Linked DNA regions of Cricetulus griseus. The protein of the gene in region 4 purifies or fractionates together with the protein of the main gene of each other region. This does not show direct contact. Links are inferred from orthologs where the notes say so. Each region holds a gene or a part of one and is shown on either strand. Other genes may lie near its edges.

Region 1 (4,076 bases), on a different chromosome or scaffold from region 4:
TGAAATTTCCTTGCCAAAGATATTTCTACACAATTGGGATATGGGAAACAAGACCAGAATTATACGTAGGGACAAATGAGGTTTGTCATAGGTCTTGTCAACTTGAGAGTAATACTCAGCTAGGAGAAAGACTCTGCAGGTGTGTGTGAGAGGAAAATAGCGTTCAATGTGTCAGATTTTTGTTTTTCCTCCTAGTGGCAGAAGAGAACAAGTCAGAATAGTTTCCTGCCTTCGGGGGAAGTGAGGGAGACAATAAACATTCATGAAGAGTGACCAGGGGTGATAAGGCACACACCTGTCATCTCAGTATTTGGGAAGTCGAGGCAGGAGGCCAGTCTGAGCTGCATAGGGAGACTTTGTCGAAAAAGAAAGAAAGAAAGAAAGAAAGAAAGAAAGAAAGAAAGGAAAAGAAAGAAAGAGAAAGAAAGAAAGAAAGAAAGAAAAAGAAAGAAAGAAAAAGAAAAAGCCAACCAAGCTAATCAAACCAAAAATCAAACAAGTGGTGAGAATAACGGGAAAGGCCAGGGAGCAGGCAGGACGGGGGTGACTAAAGATTTCAAGAAAGACCTCTTACAACAAGGTGACATGTGAGCGGGTCCAGAGGAAGGGGAAGTGGTGTGCTAGTTGCCCACCCGAGATCGGAAGGAAGGGCAGACAAAATGAGTTGAACCGGAGAGCTCTATTAGCCTGGAGATTCGAGAGAGCGCCCACGCAGAGCCTGGGAGTTGGCGGTCCAGTCAGTCTCCCGCACTGTGCTAAGGGGCTGGGGCGCCGACGTGACAGGGCTCTCCGAGGGCAGGGAACCCCGTTTTGCTGTGTTCCGGGGCGCTGTCTGCGAGCACTGAGGAGCAGCGGGGAAAAGTGCGGAGGACGAAGACTTCGGCGCGGCCTCAGTCAAGCTAGACCGGGGCAGCGGAGCCCAGCGGCGGCCGAGCCTGACGCTCTGGCTGCGTCACAAAGCGCGCCGCGAGCGCCGGGTTCCGGAGCAGCGCCGCGCGGCCCGTCCGTCAGAGCCGCGGGAGGCGGGCGGCGCCCACCGCGGGCACGCGACGCCCTCTGCAGGCCGCCGGCGGCAGCACTGGTAGCCTCATCTTCCTCGCTCCTCCCGCCTCTTCCTCAGGCTACATTTTTGTCCGTCCCCAGAGCGCCAGCCTCCGACTTCCGTTCGTTTCCTCCACTTCCAGGCCGGGTGCGTCCGTGTCTTCACCGAGAGACTGACAATAAAGTTTTTTCCTCTTCTCGCTCCCAGGAGCCCCGCCTCGACTCCAAATATCGCGAGATCTCGAGGCGCGGCTACCATGGCGGCGGCATTTGAAGCCCCGGCGGCCTTGACAACCGCGGAGTCCGCTATGGCGGCGGAGCGCGCGGCCGTGCGGTCCCCGGCCGCGGAGCCGACTCCCAGCTCCCCGTGGAGCCTGCGGACCGCTCACGACATCGGCGGGCCGCGGACGCGTACCGGGGACGTGGTGCTGGCGGAGCCCGCGGATTTCGAGTCGCTGCTGCTGTCGCGGCCGGTGCTGGAGGGGCTGCGGGCGGCCGGCTTTGAGAGGCCGTCTCCCGTGCAGCTGAAGGCCATCCCGCTGGGGCGCTGCGGGCTCGGTGAGGACCGGGGCCGGCCGCGGGCGGGGGCCTGGCCCCGGAGAGCTCCGGCTCCGCGCCTTTGCGGGGCTCGGCAGTGCTCGAGGCGCGCAATTGGATCGGAAGGCGCCGGGTCCAAGCTGGAGACGAGCAGCGGTAGAGATTCGGGGACTAAGGGGCTGGAGAAATGTCTCCGTGGTTGATGCACGCCTCGCGCGCGCTTCAGGGTCAACTAAAAATATAGGTGACAGTTAGGTGGTCTTAGGAGAGAATCCGGCCGTTCCCTGGTCCTATATTGGTATCTAGTTGCTTCAGCGAGTCTTGCTAATGATACCTATTCTTTTTTTCTTTTCTTTTTTTCTTTCTTTCTTTCTCAGATTTAATTGTTCAAGCTAAGTCTGGCACTGGGAAAACTTGTGTATTCTCCACCATTGCTCTAGACTCCCTTCTTCTTGAAAACTACAGTACTCAGGTGAGTAACTCAGAGGATCCAGACGGGGGGTGTGTAGCACGTGGCCTCTAGCTAGACTTATGAAAAACTACTGACTCCTCACAGATGGTGTGTTTGATGAATCGGAGAATGTGAAACCGTAGGAAAATTACAGAAGTAAACTACATAGATGGTAAGGTCGTTGAGTTGTGGCCGAGAATATCATTATTAAGTTTTTTTTTTAAATTTGGAGTCTTCTATAATTACATTTTGAATATGTGTTACTTAAAATCATTATGCAATTAAGAAACTTTTTCTTGGGCTGGAGAGATGGCTCAGTGATGAAGAGCAGTGACTGCTCCTTCCAGAGGTCCTGAGTTCAATTCCCAGCAACCACATGGTGGCACACAACAGTCTGTAATGAGATCTCCTGTCCTCTTCTGGCCTGCAGGCAGAACGCTGTATACATAATAAATAAATAAATCTTAAAAAAATTTTTTTAAAAAAACTTTTACTTACTAGATTGGGGTTAGAAATAAACTTAAAAGTTTTGGTTTATATAATACGCTATGGCAGAACTTAATATGGTTGTGGTTTTTTTGGTTGTATCCCCCCTCACCCCCAAAGGGTTTCTCTGTGTAACCTTGGTTGTCCTGGAACTTGCTTTGTATATTAGGCTGGGCTCGAATTCACAGAGATCCTCTTAATTTTAGGTTGCCTTGGAATAGTTTGAAGATTGTCCTACTCAAACTAGTAGGAAATATGGGTTTGGGAGATAATTCTTCAAAAAGATTTGTTCAGTTAGTAATACATGCAAATACTACACTAGGCACTGGGGATTAAGCAATGAGTTGGATGTGGTCCTCCCACCATCTTCTGGAGTGTAGTAGTATAGTAACTTTATTTCAGGTTAAGAAGTGTCTGTTGTGATGATGAATCTTGAACAGTGTTGGTTTTTTTTTTTTTTTTTTTTTTTTTTTTTTTTTTTTAACCCGGGATCCTTGTATTTGTTGTCTAGGAATCTTTTTGAGCTCTGTATCCACCACATTCTGGCAGATACTGAATATAACTTAAGGACAGTGGCTAGTCTATTTGTAAATTAAGATGTGTTTGAGAGAGTTTGGCTTGTGACACTTGGCAGCATACCAAATCCTAAACCTAAGTAAAATTCCCTTTTTTTTGTTAAAGTATTTATATTATTAAAGTGTGTGTGTGTGTGTGTGTGTGTGTGTGTGTGTGTGTGTTTATCAAAGTAACACTACATAATTGTTTTAAGTTGGGAAATTTCAGGGAAAAGAACAAAGTACCAAAGAACTCTAAATATGTGATGTGTACCCAGAGTTAAGAGATTTTTAAAAAAATATATTTTTATTATTTCCTTGTCTTTTTTTTAAGCAATATTTTCTTATAGTGACAATATGTATGTTCTGCAGTTTTTACTATGTGTGGCTCTCATGGCCTTTGGAACCTAACTCTGGGAGTTAACTCTGAGATAGAGTCCTCTTAAAATCTTAGTACCTGGGCCTTTTTGCTGCTCCTTATGTGTACCTTAAGGCCTTTGGATTTGCTTTTTCTTTTTCTGAAGCACTGCTTCTGGTGTGTTCCACAACTAGCTCTATGCTGTATGTCTCAAATGTTACTTTCTTATGGGACTTTTAAAATTCTTTGTTTGTTTGTTGGAAGCAGGCACACTCTACCTAATTCTAGCTGGACAGAAGCTTACAACATAGACTAGTCTTCAGTTTGAGGCAATCCTCATATCTCTGCTTCTAGAGTGTCGGAATCATAGGTGCATGCCAAAACGTCACTTCGGAAGGGCTTTCTGATCATTTAAAATGATTTCCCTTGTCAGGTCTTTCTTTTTTCCCTATTTGATTTTTTTTTTTAAATAATACTTTTTATTACATGTATATGTTTTTGTTTATGTTATAACCAAAAAGTGCCAAGAGAGCAATTCTTTCACAACTTGTATGTTTTCTCCCATATAGTACGTTCTTAATAATTAACCGAATAAATGGAATATTTTCTCCTGTTTTAAAACTCCTCTTACAATGAAAAGTAGTGTAGC
Region 2 (3,513 bases), on a different chromosome or scaffold from region 4:
AGTGGGAAGAGAATATAATTTTGAGTTTCCTTTCATCTTTTTTCAGATCCTGGTCACAGTGGATTGGCAGATCATTATGAAAATTCCCACTGGGGACAGCAGCCCTCTTACAGAAGTGAAGCCAACTGCGGCTGGGATAAAGTGACGCTAGACAGGACTGACCAGGAGGTGTGGCCGTCCATCCCCGTCACAGAGACTGAATCTGCCTCAGAATGTCCTGCGGACACTGACTCTGCCTCCACCTGTGGCTCAGAGAACAGTAGTATGGCTACAGGGAGCACCCAGGGCAGCTTCACAGGACATCCCAAGAAGACAAATGGCAATAATGGCACCAATGGTGCACTCGTCCAAAGCCCTTCTAATCAGAGTGCCCTTGGGGCAGGTGGAACCAACGGGAATGGAGGTGTGGCCAGAGTGTGGGGTGTAGCCACAGGCTCCAGCTCTGGCCTGACTCACTGCTCTGTTGGTGGTGGAGATGGAAAAATGGACAACATGATTGGAGATGGGAGAAGTCAAAATTGTTGGGGTGCTTCCAACTCCAATGCGGGCATTAATCTCAACCTTAACCCTAATGCCAACCCAGCTGCCTGGCCTGTACTCGGGCATGAAGGAACTGTGGCAACAGGCAACCCTTCCAGTATTTGCAGTCCAGTCAGTGCCATAGGTCAGAATATGGGCAGCCAGAATGGGAACCCAGTGGGCACAGTAGGTGCCTGGGGAAACTTGCTGCCCCAAGAGAGCACAGAACCACAGACGTCCACTTGTCAGAATGTGTCTTTCAGCGTACAACCTCAGAACCTTAACACTGATGGATCAAATAACACTAACCCCATGAACTCTTCACCAAACCCTATCAATGCAATGCAGACGAACGGACTGCCAAACTGGGGCATGGCTGTTGGCATGGGGGCCATCATCCCGCCCCACCTGCAAGGCCTTCCTGGTGCTAACGGATCATCAGTCTCTCAAGGCAGTGGAAGTGGTGGGGAAGGAATGGGCAGTTCTGTGTGGGGACTGTCCCCTGGTAATCCTGCCACAGGAAATAACAATTCTGGGTTCAGTCAGGGGAATGGAGACACTGTGAACTCAGCACTAAGTGCTAAACAGAATGGATCCAGCAGTGCTGTGCAAAAGGAAGGGAACGGAGGGAATGCCTGGGACTCGGGGCCACCTGCGGGTCCTGGCATCCTTGCCTGGGGAAGGGGCAGTGGCAACAATGGCATTGGTAATATCCATTCAGGAGCTTGGGGCCACCCCAGCCGCAGCTCTTCTAATGGTATGAATGGGGAGTGGGGGAAGCTCCCAAACCAGCATTCCAGTAGTGACATCAGTGGGAAAGGATCAACAGGGTGGGACAGTCCCAGTGCTGCCAGCCAGCCACCTGCCTTGCAGCCTGGCAGTGAACACGTGAGCTCGTGGGCCAAAGCCACATCTTCTGGAACTACGCCAAGCGAAGGGAGCAGTGATGGCTCTGGCCATCACAGTGAAGGGGGCGCTGGGCGGGAAGCAATGGGTGAGGGCAGGAGGCGAGACCAAGGGCACATCCAGTTGCCCAGGGGCGATCTTGACCCACGAGTTCTGTCTAATACTGGTTGGGGACAGACTCCTGTAAAGCAAAACACTGCCTGGGAATTTGAAGAGTCCCCTAGGTCTGAAAGGAAAAATGACAATGGGACAGAGGCCTGGGGTAGTGCAGCTACTCAGCCTTCAAACTCAGGGGGGAAGAGTGATGGGTCCCTCATGAACAGTACAAATACCTCTTCAGTATCGGGGTGGGTCAGCTCACCACCTGCCGCCGTGCCAGCAAACACAAGCTGGGGAGACAGCAACAACAAAGCGCCAAGTGGCCCAGGAGTTTGGGGGGACTCGATAAGCTCTACTGCTGTTAACAATGCTGCTGCCACCAAGAGTGGCCATGCTTGGAGTGGGACCGTAAACCAGGAGGACAAGTCACCCACCTGGGGTGAGCCTCAGAAACCCAAATCTCAAAACTGGGGAGATGGACAAAGAGCAAACCCAGCCTGGAGCGCAGGAGCAGGAGACTGGGCAGATTCATCCTCGGTCCTTGGACATCTAGGGGATGGGAAGAAAAATGGACCTGGATGGGACGCTGACGGTAATAGGTCAGGGTCTGGCTGGAACGATGCCTCGAGATGTGGAACCAGTGGCTGGGCCAGTGGCGCAAGTGCTAAGGTGAACCCAGGTACAAACTGGGGGGAGTCTCTCAAGCCTGGTCCCCAGCAGAGCTGGGCTCACAAGCCCCAAGACAGCAATGTGAGTAACTGGGGAGGAGCTGCTTCTGTTAAGCAGACAGGGACAGGGTGGATTGGGGGGCCACTGCCAGTCAAGCAGAAGGACAGCTGTGAGGCAACTGGCTGGGAGGAGCCTTCTCCACCGTCCATCCGACGCAAAATGGAAATCGATGATGGTACCTCAGCTTGGGGGGACCCAAGCACCTACAACAATAAAACTGTAAACATGTGGGACAGAAATAATCCAGTCATCCAGAGCAGTACCACAACCCCTGCCACCCCCACGACCCCCACCTCGAGCAGCACCACACACCAGGCCGAGACGCCGCCTTCACACCAGGCTGGCACTCAGCTGAATCGGTCGCCACTGCTCGGGCCAGGTATGCTGGGGGCCCTCTGGTCACACCAGTGGTGTGTGCTCTGTGTCTATGTGTGAATCCTTGGACTGATGCTCGTAGCAAGTGACTACGTAGAGTAGGTGTTTCCAAGGGAACAACAAGGCACCATCCTCTGGTAACTTTCCAAGGAAAAGCAGCACTGGGTATCCTCAATACAGCCAGGGTTTCCAGCCGGTTTGGTCCTTTTCATCATCCTTCCAACAACCACAGGCTAATTTGTTTTGAACTTGTGCTGTGCTCTGCTTGTCTGGGTTCTTTGTCAGTAATGGAACCGTTGGGCAGTTGACATCTTTTTTTTTTTTTTTTTTAATAGGAGCAACTTTGAAATCTTCCTGCTGTGCAGCTGTATTCTGACTGCCTAAATCACTTGTTGGTGGTTTTGTGCATTTCCTTGGCCTTTGTCCTGTTGATGAAACTTTACTTGGTCTTAGTTAATACCACAATCAAGTTACAAGCTCATTCTTAGGCCCTGTACTGTGCAAACAGTCTGGGTCTGCCCCATACCGTAATCCAGCCTTTGCATGACAGGGCCAGCACCAATGAGATTCGGGAGGAAAGAAGCCCAGGACCCCTTGCCTTAGTGTATCTTCTGCAAGATATCTTTATTACTAGATAAAACAAGTGGTTCTCAGCCCCGGCTTTCCTTAAATTGCCTTGGCACTTCCTGAGGTGGTCTGTCAGTCCCAGAGAACCTGATTTAATGGTTCTGTCTTCACTGATAGTTTTAAAGTTCCTCCTGGAGATGAAACTATGTTTGTAAAACTTCATTATACAACTCTATTTTTATTTTAGTTGAAAGGCAGATTTCAAAATCACACTAAGACTTGTGTTTGGAGTTTCTGCTCTGTGCAAGTGGAAAAGAA
Region 3 (3,952 bases), about 28 Mb from region 4:
TGGCGTTGGTCCCTTCTCATACCAAAGTCGCCAGCTGGTCTGCCTGCCCTTGTCACTGCTTCTGTTTCACCCAGTCGTGCGGCCTTTCCCACTTCAGAGCTCCTGGATGACCCCTGATTATCACCCCAAGATTCCTCCACCTCCAGCCCCCATCCCCTCTTAGCAAGACATCTCTTCCTAGACCCGTTCTGAAAACACTCTTTGAATCACGTTTTTCGTGGTATCTGTCTCTTTCTTCCTCTATCCAAGGTCACAAGATTTCCCCCACATTCTGCACTCTGGTGGTATCAAGACTTTGGGGATCCAAAAGTACTTGTTTAGCTCTGCGCGTAATTTAGTTCGTTAATTACTCTCGTGTTCTTTCAGTTGAGGCTACAAAACACCGCAGAAGGTACATCTAATGATTCTCGGGCCCTAGATTCCCGGAGAGTTAAAGAAAGGTTCAGTAGGGCCTATTTAAGGAGTAGCAAACCCTTACAGGCTGCGTGCAGTTAATGAAGAGAGGCGAAGGACAAGACACACACACACACACCACACACACACAAAAGCAGCAGGATTTTTGACACGAGGCCCGAGGGGCCTGGCACTCACACTGGTGCCTGGGGAGACAGTGTCTGAAAAAAAACTTACAACAACCCCAGAGCTCTGGGGCGGGGGCGGCCAGGTAAGGCCCACCCTCTGGGGCAGCAAAAGAAACACGCCGGCAGCCTCCTCCGCCAATCACAACCCTTCCTCAGGAAGCCTATCCCTTTCCCCGTCCCCGCCCTCTGGGCCAGATGACCAATCGAAAAGCGCCTTGGGAAGTCGCTCTCGGCATTGCCGATTAAGCCGCGAAGCCTGCGGCGGCGACCGGACGGCGCGCGGGCACCTGGGCTCTGTAGTTCTCTGAGGGTGGCATGCCTTACCGCCCCGCCCCCAGCCGCCTCCACCCCGTTAGTACGCATGCTCACAGTCTCGGCCTGGGAGGAGGCAGTGCGCAAGGAAGAAGGCGGGACGACATTAGAAAACTAAAACCACTGGTAGGTTGAGAAGCTTCCGTGGAGGATCCGCTCCTCCCAGAGGGCGGCGCAGGCGCCCGGGCGAGCCACGCGGAGAGTTGTGGGGCGGGTAGCTCGACTCCTGATGAAGACACAAGGAGTCGGATGGGAGGGGGACTCCAGATCCCAGCATGCCCCGCGGCGGGCCCTACCGGCCGCGACTCCGGGCTTGGCCCCGGCCCTAGCTCGTCGGCGGTGTACTGGGGCGCGTGGAGGCTGTAGTCACGGTGGCGCCCGCGGGGACGGAGGAGGGAATGAGTGAAGAGGAGCAGGGCTCCGGCACTACCACAGGCTGCGGGCTGCCCAGGTGAGCTGCCTAATTTCCATTCCTGCAGGACGAAAAGTGTGAGGCGGTGCGGAGGGTAGCGGCGCAGCCCCAGCATGCACCTGGCCTGAGGGTTGTTCCCAGCAAGCACTGGGGTAGTGGGCAGAGGTTCCCGGCATGCACTGGGTCAGTGGCCACCGCCTCCAGCTCTAGTTTGGGGTTGGCTTGATTCCCAGACTGCACTGGAGCCTTACGCTTTATGCCCTGATGTTCAGTGCGTTTGGTGGGTACTGGGTTCCCGAATTCCATTGTGCCAGGGGGAAATGCACGTCCAACCAGCACTACGGCACAGGCTCCCTCGCCTTAACTGAGAACAGTACAGTTTCCACTTGCCTTGGGGTAGAGGACCTTGCTTTCCCTCCTGCAACTTAACTGTTAGCCCAGTCAATGGATGCTATACTGCCTGGGGATCCATGGACCCAGTAATGTGCTAGGTCTAATGTGACAGTGCTTGGTCAGGTGGGTGCCGAAAGGGGAAGTGTGATATTGGTGTGTGCCCCTCCCTCCCAGCATAGAGCAAATGCTGGCCGCCAACCCGGGCAAGACCCCGATCAGCCTTCTTCAGGAGTATGGGACCAGAATAGGAAAGACGCCCGTGTACGACCTTCTCAAAGCCGAGGGCCAAGCCCATCAGCCTAATTTCACCTTCCGGGTCACCGTTGGCGACACCAGCTGCACTGGTGAGGAAGGCTTGGGCAGCCTGGCTGGGGTGTGCATTCACAGGGCCCGTGGCTTAATATCGTGGGATCGCTTCACCACAGTCCTCTCCTTTAAGGCCAGGGAGGGATGGAGAGGTTTCAGGGGAAAAACCACTGCCTGAAGGTGGATAGGACCCGAGAGACTCACTGGTGAGAACAGGAAATGTCACAGGAATTTGCTGCTCTTACCACCTTAGATGAAAAGTAGATGAGACACTGAACTACCCATGGGTATTTGGGGGAGCAAACACACACTTTGCTGGCCTCTTGACCCATATTGACCATAGAGGGCTTAGTATCAGAAATTAAATGACTGGCCCTAATAAGTGGCAGAGTAGAGCTTTGACTTTAGAACTGATCCTTTGTTGTCTCTATTGCTTATTTGTTGAGGGAAAAGAAAGTGCTTTTGCAGAGAAAAGGAAGACACCTCCCCTCTCCCCAGTGTTGGAGCTCAAATCCTGCCTTACATGACTTAATTATGGGAGATAATTGAAAGCTAAGGGCTGCTCTAGGCCCATTTATATTGTGATAAAACACCTTAACTAAAGCAGCATAGGGGAGGAAAGGCTTGATTGGTTTACAGTCATCATTGTGGGGAAGGTATCCACAAAGCAGAGAGCAAAGAGAATAAACTCATCCTTGCTGCCTGCTTGCTGTTCCACACAGCATTACAGCTGACCAAGGCACTTACTTCACAGCCACAGAAGCACAGCGGAACAATGGCAGATGCCCAGTGCTTCCACATTCAGGGCCACCTGCCTTGCAAGGGATGGTACCACAATAGTTGAGCATTTCTACCTCAATTAACAATCAAGACAGTCTCCCACAGACATGTTCGAAGGCCAGTCTGAGCTAGGCAATTCCTCAATAAAGGCTCTCCTTTCATATGATCCGAGGTTGTGCCAAGTTGACAGTTAAAACTAACTAGGACAAAGACTATTTGAGCAGTCAGCAGAGCCCTTCTAGTCTGGCAGGGGAGGTTGGTAAGCGAGCTGTTCAATCCCTTGGCTGTAAGGAGAGAGGCTGTGGGGGCTGGTTTCTCTGCTGTCCTGCTGGTGACCTCCAGTATTGCCCACACCCCTTTTCTTAGGTCAGGGCCCCAGCAAGAAGGCAGCCAAGCACAAGGCAGCTGAGGTGGCCCTCAAACACCTCAAAGGGGGGAGCATGCTGGAACCAGCCCTGGAGGACAGCAGGTGAGGGAGGAACAGTCAAGGGACACTAGAAGCCCTGCTGAGAACCAGGCCTCCTCACCACCTACTTCTCTTCCTAATCCAGGCCTGGTGACTCATGGCCACCCTGACCTGGCCCCTTCCTGAGAATTTCCTCTAGGGTGCTTCTAGGGTAATAGCCCCTTTGATGGGTGGTGGCTACTCTGGGCCCGGGGTAAGCCATAGAGGGTGGAGACTAAGGCTGATAAGGCTGATGGTCCCAAAACGCCCCCTTTCTAGCCACATGACTTTCCCTCTTCTACATTCAGGTTGGAGCTTGTTGGGTAGGAAGAAATTCTGTTTTCTGAGCCCTACCCCTACCCCACCCTCAGTGCTTTTGAGCCAGTGTGGGTCAGCAGAGGATCCCAGGAGGAAGAGCTGTTGCTGAGGCTCTCTTGAGTCTAGATCAGGGGGAAGGGATTCTCTCAGGGGATGGAAAGGTCAGAAAGACCTCATACTCTCATTCCCTTCTACATGGGTGTGAATCCAAGGCTCCCTTCCCCTTGGGAAGTTCTTTTTCTCTCCTAGAGTCTTCACTGCCCGAGGACACTCCTGTCATTGCTGCTGAAGTTGCTGCCCCTGTTCCATCTGCTATACTAACCAGGTACCTTGAGTTCCCTGACATCTCGGAGGGAGGCAGGCCCCTAGCCTCATAGCACTTGGACCCAGGCAGGTTAGGATGAG
Region 4 (3,513 bases):
GTCCCCTCACACCTCCATCAGCTACTGCTTACGCTGTGTGGATGCAGCCTACAACTCCATATGATGAGCATGACTTCACAGGAAAAAACCTAGAATGGTCTCTGAGTGTCAGTGTGCCTGCTGGGATGACAGGAGGAGAGCATGGAGTCAGCCTGGCCCTTCCTGACTGACTCCCTTCTGACTAGGAGAGGGCTGTCTCCCTGGCAGGTACACCCCCGTTGGCCGTTCCTTCTTCACTGCGTCTGAAGGCTGTTCCAACCCCCTGGGCGGGGGCCGGGAAGTGTGGTTTGGCTTCCATCAGTCCGTCCGACCTTCTCTTTGGAAAATGATGCTGAATATTGATGGTAAGAAAAGCCTATGGGCTTCACTGCAGGGTGAATGGGGCCCGTGCAACCTGCATTACACAGGACGGAGATTTGAAAGCTTTCAGAGGTGGCCAGACCTTAGGAAGGATTCTCATAGCTATCTCTAGCCTTTGGTGAAGCCAGAGACGTGGAATGTTACCAGCCTGTGTCAACCGTGTGTTTGGTATCTGAGGTGGTTCGTGTTTGGGTATCGGAGCCTTTGGAGTATTCCATTCCCAGGGGCCCTTTAGCCAGCCTGGGGAGCTGACTCTGCCAGGCCCTGTGCACTGCTGGAACACCACAAGTATTGGGGTTGGGGCCACATCCCTCACTTTCTCTCCATGTTTCCTGAGTACTCAAGTTGTTTACACTGAGAGAAGAGCACCATTAGGTGCCAATGGGTGGCCGTTGTCTGTTGATCCTCCAGCTTGACTGTCACTGCTGTGACAAGTACCTAGAAGAAACCATTTAAAGTGGTTAAAGATTCACTGGGGGTTTCAGAGGACTCAGTCCACAATAAGCTGATGCTATCATTCTGAAGCTGAGCACCATTGCAGAGAGGCTGTGATGCAGCATGGCTGCTTATCTCATGGTGCCTGGGAAGGAGGCATATGGAAATGAGCCAGGGGTAAGAGCTCCCCTGAAGGTACACCCACAGCCATCTACTTCTCCAGTCAGGAGACCTCTGTCTGAGTTTTTGCAGCCTTCCAGAAATGCCATTCAACTGTGACTCCATCAATATATTGCTTGGTTCAGAGCCCTCACGATCCACGTAGCTCTCAGTGATGGGAGGACACTGCTTCAGGAAACTCAGGGGTCATACTTTGTGCTTGAGTCCGCTTCCCTCTGCCAGAGACCAACAATCAGGAGGATCGATGCCTCCTCTCACATAGAAGATAAGTTTTGGCAGCAGCTCCAGGAAGGCCCTAGGTCATATCTTGCTCAGGCTCATACTGACTGCAAAAGAATTGCATGAATGGAAAAACCTCAGAAATGCCTCTGGCAGAAGTAGGTGGCCAGAAAAGCCTACAGGGTCCAAGGTCCTGGCTGTTCTGTGTCAAGCTAGATTTGTTTATAAGACCACAGTAGTTCGCCGGTTGTTGGTGGAACACGCCTTTAATCCCAGCACTCAGGAGGCAGAGGCAGAGGCAGACGGATCTCTGTGAGTTCGAGGCCAGCCTGGTCTCTAGAGCAAGTACCAGGATAGGCTCCAAAGCTACACAGAGAAACCCTGTCTCGAAAAACCAAAAAAAAGACCGCAGTAGTTCTTTGGGTGACTTCTTCAGTCTCAGCCAATCCCTTACCATTGCCTATGGCTAGAGAAAAGCATGGAATCTCCTTGGTTAGTGTGGAGCTCTGGGCACAGTGGACATTGGTTTTCTCATTACATAAGAGGAGCGGGGGAGCATACAGGAGAAACTGAGGCCAGGCCTCCTGAGCTGCCTGCTACTAGTCACATGGATTACTCTAGATGTTCTTGTCTGTCTCTTGCTTTTCCTGCACAGTGTCAGCAACTGCATTTTACAAGGCACAGCCGGTGATCGAGTTTGTTTGTGAAGTTTTGGATTTTAAAAGTATTGAAGAACAACAAAAACCTCTGACAGATTCCCAAAGGGTAAAGTTTACCAAAGAAATAAAAGGTAAAGAACCACCCAGAGCAACAGGCTAGGGGGTGAGGGCCCCCTCTGGGGTCCCCACCCATGCATGGATGGGTTCTTGTTCCACTCTGATGAGGGAGATGGGAGCTATGGGAAGAGTGAGCCACAAGGCACACTGACTCTGAGATAGCTGGGACTCACACAGGGGGGCCCATGGCGCTAACGAGCACAACTACATGGGTGGGAGCAGCTGGGATGCCTGTCCTGTCTGAGCCACAAAGGTTAGGACTAGAATCACTGTGAGAGAGTGGTAGTGGTGACACCCAAATCTTACTGAGCTGAATTGTGCTGGCATCTCAGGACAAGGTGGGTGCAGCCATGGCATCCTGAGGATAGCACTCATTTCTTACTTCTCGGCTCTAGAAGCCTATGGCTTCAAATGTGGCCAGAGCTGCCATGTCTGCAAATTGATTCTAGACTGGAGTTTGGACTATAGGTGCATGGCAAGGGTAACTCTGATGCCTGCTGTCTGTCACCAGGTCTAAAGGTGGAGATAACGCACTGTGGTCAGATGAAGAGGAAGTACCGTGTCTGCAATGTGACCCGCCGGCCTGCCAGTCACCAAACGTAAGGCAGTTGAACAGTCATCCCTCCTTACAAACTCAGGCTGGTCCTGTCACTCATATTCCCAGACACTGGAAGTCATGAGACTGTCCTGCAAGGATTTATTTGTGCTCCTAAAATCTAGTAGCTACCTCTGTGGCTCGTTCACTTTCCACTCTACAAAGTGAACCCTAGGGGCTGGATAAATCACTCAATAGTTCAGAGCATATATTGCTCTTCTGGAGGTCCCAAGTTTGGTTCCCAGCACCCATGTTGGGCAGCTTACAACCACCTGTAGCTCCAGCTGCAGTGCCCTCTTAATGTATTGTATCCACATATATACATGTGCGAGCTCACACACACACACATACACACACACACACACACACACACACACACACACACACACACACACACAATTTAAAATATAATAAGTTGGGATTTTTTGGTTTTGCTTTTAAATTTATATCTTTATTGTATGACTGTTTTCCCTGCATGTATGTCTGTTCACCTGGTCCCCATGGAGGCCAGAAGAGAGGCATCAGATCCCTGGAACAGGAGTTACAGGTGGCTGGAATCAAACCTGGATCCTCTGCAAGAGCAGCCAGTACTCTTAACCTATGAGCCATCTCTCCAGCCCCCATTTTGTTTGGTTTTGTTTTAAGATAGGGATTCAATGTTTAAATCAGGCTGGCCTGAAACTACTCACGAAGATGCCTCTGCCTGGAGAGATGGCTTGGAGGTTAAGAACACTGACCGTTCTTCCAGAGGACCTGAGTTCACTTCCCAGCAACCACGTGGCGGCTCACAACCATCTATAACGGTGGTCCCTTGGGATGTGCAGATATATACATAAAATAAGTCTTTTAAAAAACAAGCATGAATTCCAACATAGAAATCCCACATGTGCAAGGGAGTGGAGGATGTGACTTTAGGTCTGGGCGAAGCAAGGACACCTGTGGGCTGCT
Region 5 (4,128 bases), on a different chromosome or scaffold from region 4:
GGTTCTTGGTGAGTTGACAGCCCTTGATACAGGTCCAAGCTCTGCCTCACTTCCGACCTTGGTCATTTTCATAGCGTGATTCACCCCTACCCATCCCCTCTTCTGCCAAATATCCATCCACATAGCCAGTCAGACCACACAAAGCATGACTAATGGAGTTTTAGCCAGCAGAGGTGCTTTTACACATTTGAACTGCTTTCCAGGACCCTCACAGAGTTGCTCTTTGACACAGACTCCACTCTTGTGCCGTTCAAGTGATTTATTGATGTCTCCGCTAACCTTGCTACCCTTTTCAGTATGTTTCAGCCATCAGGAGTTCTTAAACCCATTCCCCACCAGTGGAGCCACTGCTATTTCCTTGTGTCTGCCAAAATGTCCTTAGCCAGCCTCGTTTTTCTTTAGCTCCTCCACTTTGGCAATATAGATCCTCATAGCATCCATCTTGGACATCCCTTTGTTCACATTCCACGCTTCCCATTTGGCCTTTGCTCTCACATCTGTGGCTGGAGGGACGGGGATGTTACAGTCGCCCTGGGTGGCCTGTTTGTAGAAGCTGTACACCAGCAGTTTCTCCTGATCGCTCACAGGACCCTTCAGCTGCTTGAGAGAAGCGCAGGCCATTTCAAACTCCACTTGGCTCATTGTTGCACCAGAGGCTGTGTGTGCCTCTCTGTTCTAGTGATACCTGGTACTAGAAGAGAGTTGGGAATAAGCAAAGCAGACGATTATTAGGCCTTGGAAAGAAAGGACAAAGAGATAATGTGTGGGAAGAACACGTGTGTGTGTGTGTGTGTGTGTGTGTGTGTGTGTGTGTGTGTGTATGTGTCTGTGTGTGTGTGTGTGTGTGTGTGTGTGTGTGTTTGAAAAACTACAAGTTGCTGACCAGGAATCCATTCGATTGGCCCTGTCCCACAGTGCTTTGCCCAGTGTGACTGTCCTTCAAACTTACAAAGGCGCCTATGAGAGCTGAAAAGCATTTGGGCATTTCTGTGTGTCTCTGAGGCTGGACGGGGAGCCCCATGGATCCGCTGCTGGTTAGTGGGCAGCCTGGGAAAGGCCATTCCGTTGGAGGTGAATCGTGGGGGTTCCTGGGTGAGAGTGAGAAGTCTGGACTAAGGGATTGGACCTCCTGGCCTCAAGAGAACTGTAATTCCGCAAGGAGCCTGCCTACCTACCTGAGGGTAGACGGCCGGCTGGGAAGCCTAGGGCCGAGAGGGGGCGCTGTGGGCCTGGTCGGCCTCGACGCCGCGAGCTTGTCGAGGAGGACGGAAGACGCGTGCGCACGGAGCAGCAGCCGGGGAGCGGAGTACTGATCGGAAGCCCGTACGAGCTGTGGGCGGTACCTGTGACGCGCCTGTGGCGCCGCCCTTTGTGCCGTGGCGGGGGCACCGCGTTCGCGGCCTCGGAGTGGGAGGGGCGGTCCAGCCCGGCCGCCAGCTTCGCCGCCATGGACCTAGGTGGGTTCGCGTTTCCCTACTCCGGCCTGGTGTCGGGCCGCGTCCGGCAGAGCCCCTCCAGGGTGGGCCGAGGCCCTGTGCTCCTCCAGTGGCGCTCTCCGGAGCCGACTCTGGAGGCCGGGGGTCTGAGGAGTTTTTAGGGACCCGCGGCCGCGAGGCCGGCCTCCAGCCCGCAGCCCGGCCTCGTGTTGGTCTTCCTCGATCCCTCCTCCGCCTCGTGGTCTCTTTCCCATTAGAAAACAGAGAGCGAATGTAGCCCTGGACCCCCTGAAAGTGCACAGGGCTACTGCACGTGTTTCGGAAATGCCGGGCTGGGAGGAACGGACGTCCGGACCGTTCTTCCTTATTGGGTGACTGCCGAGTCGGGGAACAAGTTTCTTAGCAGCTCTCCTGGTCCACAAAGCAGAGATGCTGATACCGCTTTCCTCCCAGGCTTGGCGTTTCTTTGAGACCACGTGCATAACTGGGCGCCTTACGGTGACTTGTGCACAGTGGTGTCCCGCAGCCCTCGCTTTCGAGCAGGGTTTGCAGCAGCAGCAGACAGAGATGGTACTTTTTGAATCCTTTGATTTGGAGTCTCTTAGGCGAGGTCTGGAAGGAGAGCGGCGTTGATAGAAATCTGTGGCCATCTGCCAAGCCTCCCCACCCTGCTAGGTGTGCTCTTTAGAGGGTAAGACAGGGAGGCTGTCCCGGGAGGTACTCCAAGATTTGCAAATAATAAGCTATGGAGAAAGATCTTTGTCCCAGCCAGCTCTTTAGGTAGTTTCATGCCCCGAAGCTGTCAAGAGTTCTGCCATGGCTTGACTCCGCTGACTCAGACACCCTGCACAAATTGTATGTGGGCCTCGAGGTTTCCATCTCTAAAACAGGAGTGGTAATCCTCAAGAAGTTAGTTGGATGATCAAATGGTCTTTTAGGTGTAAAGCTGGGTGTGGAAGCTTATGTCTAACTAGCACTTTGGAGGCAGACACAGGAGGATCTCAAGAGTTCTAGGCCAACCTGCTCTATATAGTTTCAAGCCAGTCCTGGCTACATAACAAGATCCTATGTCACGGGTAAAAAAATGTATGTCACCAAGCCCCGTGCCTACCAGAGTAAGCAGTCACTTCCTAGCACCAGCTACTGATAAAGCCTTGCAGTTTCCCCTAGCTATTAACTGAGTCTGGGACTTTGTCAAGTCACATGTACACAGTGTCTGAAAATCTCATGTTTGTCGGCAGACATCTGCTCGGCTAAGCTGATAAATGCAGTTAAATTGAATTTACTGTTGCGAGGGAATGGTGTTGAGGGCAGGGCAACCTGAGCCAGAAAGAACCCTGCCACAGCAACCTAACTCTGGGCCTTCTGCTACTGTGGAAGCCAAGGTGCATTGCCTTCAGGCCTGGGTTTAGTAGGAGTGTTGATCCTTGACTTGTTTTTGGGTGTGTGAGTAAATGGTTAGTGGCCAAGAGATTCATTAGTTCCCTGGAGTCATCACTTTTTTTCCCCCTGGGGGTAGGGGAGGTTTGAGACAGGGTGTCACAATGTACTTTGGCTGGCCTCATAGAAATCTGCCTCCCTAGAGCTGGGATTAGAAGCATGGGCCACCACAACTGGCCACTGGAGTCAGTATTTTTGCAGCTGACTCTGGCCTATGAGAATGGGGAAAATATGTTCCTTGGAGCATGGGAAACTGGACATGAGGAAGGAAGGGTTAGGCATCTCTGGGCCCTGGGAATGGGTGGGCGCTGTCAGGAACAGTGACCGTGACCAGTTAGTTGTTACACTCTTTTTAAAAAATAACTTATAAAAACAATAATTTTATTTTATGGACATTGATGTGAGGGTTTCAGGTCCTTTGGAACTAGAGTTACAGAAATTGCAAGCTGTCATATGGGTGCTCGGAATCGAACCCAGGTCCTCTGGAAGAGCAGCCAGTGCTCTTGACTGCTGAGCCATCTCTTCAACTCCCAGTTGTTAGAATCTTTAGTTTCTAGGCCAAATTATACACTTTGATAAAGACCTGTGTCCTTTTGTTTTTGCACTGGAGGAGACAAAATAGTGAGAAGACTGGGCCTGCCAACAATTGAACATTTAAATCAGGCTCTTTGTGGTCTGATTATTGTTGCGATAGTAACCTTCCATTCTCCCACCCCTGAAAGATGTTTCGAGAAGGTAACAGTACCAAAATAGTTCCAAAAGTATGACTAGTATATGTTGTATGTCATGTGGTTTTCATGGTTATACCACTGAAGATTATAGTCTGTGTATGCAGACAGACTCAGTAATGTGTAAAGTCACATTTTTGAATGACTGAGCTAGGATTTAAATCCATTATTTGATTAAACTCCCATATTGCCTTTCTTTAAATGTCTTTATCAGTTCTTAGCTCAGTGAATGAATGTTTTCTTGGTTCCTGCCACAGAGCCAGAATGTTCAGTAGTGTCCTTTTTGACTAGAAGAAACTGCTGGGTGAACTTTTTCCCTGTAAGGCCCAGAATGTTGAAACCCATTAGCAGCAGTGTGTTTAGGAAGAAGGAAGGCAGGGCTGGGAATACAGCTCAGTGGTAGAGTGCTTGCCTGGTATATGCAAGGCTTTGGGCTCAAAAACAAAAGCTCAGCTGGGTGTGGTGCATGCCTTTAATCCTAGCACTCAGGAAGCAGAGGCTGGCAGTTCTCTGTGAGTTCAAAG

Evidence for each region.
Region 1: the proteins of Ago2 (region 4) and Ddx20 purify together in Homo sapiens (affinity purification with western blotting; 3 studies listed by BioGRID). This does not show direct contact. The link is inferred for Cricetulus griseus from reciprocal best matches to the Homo sapiens genes AGO2 and DDX20.
Region 2: the proteins of Ago2 (region 4) and Tnrc6c purify together in Homo sapiens (co-immunoprecipitation; 6 studies listed by BioGRID and IntAct, with this or other methods). This does not show direct contact. The link is inferred for Cricetulus griseus from reciprocal best matches to the Homo sapiens genes AGO2 and TNRC6C.
Region 3: the proteins of Ago2 (region 4) and Tarbp2 purify together in Homo sapiens (co-immunoprecipitation; 10 studies listed by BioGRID and IntAct, with this or other methods). This does not show direct contact. The link is inferred for Cricetulus griseus from reciprocal best matches to the Homo sapiens genes AGO2 and TARBP2.
Region 5: the proteins of Ago2 (region 4) and Gemin4 purify together in Homo sapiens (affinity purification with western blotting; 4 studies listed by BioGRID and IntAct, with this or other methods). This does not show direct contact. The link is inferred for Cricetulus griseus from reciprocal best matches to the Homo sapiens genes AGO2 and GEMIN4.

Annotation. Positions count from the first base shown.
Region 1 is NW_023276806.1:51,319,550-51,323,625, forward strand, and holds the start of Ddx20 (probable ATP-dependent RNA helicase DDX20), read left to right. Parts: upstream 1-1,270; 5' UTR 1,271-1,298; coding exon 1,299-1,599; intron 1,600-1,955; coding exon 1,956-2,050; intron 2,051-4,076.
Region 2 is NC_048600.1:130,270,306-130,273,818, forward strand, and holds part of Tnrc6c (trinucleotide repeat-containing gene 6C protein), read left to right. Parts: intron 1-46; coding exon 47-2,632; intron 2,633-3,513. UniProt on the Homo sapiens protein: Plays a role in RNA-mediated gene silencing by micro-RNAs (miRNAs). Required for miRNA-dependent translational repression of complementary mRNAs by argonaute family proteins.
Region 3 is NC_048595.1:398,895,137-398,899,088, forward strand, and holds the start of Tarbp2 (RISC-loading complex subunit TARBP2), read left to right. Parts: upstream 1-1,150; 5' UTR 1,151-1,291; coding exon 1,292-1,344; intron 1,345-1,454; exon of another isoform or gene 1,455-1,585; intron 1,586-1,872; coding exon 1,873-2,042; intron 2,043-3,150; coding exon 3,151-3,253; intron 3,254-3,779; coding exon 3,780-3,872; intron 3,873-3,952. UniProt on the Homo sapiens protein: Required for formation of the RNA induced silencing complex (RISC). Component of the RISC loading complex (RLC), also known as the micro-RNA (miRNA) loading complex (miRLC), which is composed of DICER1, AGO2 and TARBP2.
Region 4 is NC_048595.1:370,801,997-370,805,509, reverse strand, and holds part of Ago2 (protein argonaute-2), read left to right. Parts: intron 1-207; coding exon 208-344; intron 345-1,849; coding exon 1,850-1,984; intron 1,985-2,481; coding exon 2,482-2,569; intron 2,570-3,513.
Region 5 is NC_048600.1:89,667,679-89,671,806, reverse strand, and holds the start of Gemin4 (gem-associated protein 4), read left to right. Parts: upstream 1-1,325; 5' UTR 1,326-1,447; coding exon 1,448-1,457; intron 1,458-4,128. Other genes in the region: diazepam-binding inhibitor-like 5, read right to left, coding at 379-642. UniProt on the Homo sapiens protein: The SMN complex catalyzes the assembly of small nuclear ribonucleoproteins (snRNPs), the building blocks of the spliceosome, and thereby plays an important role in the splicing of cellular pre-mRNAs.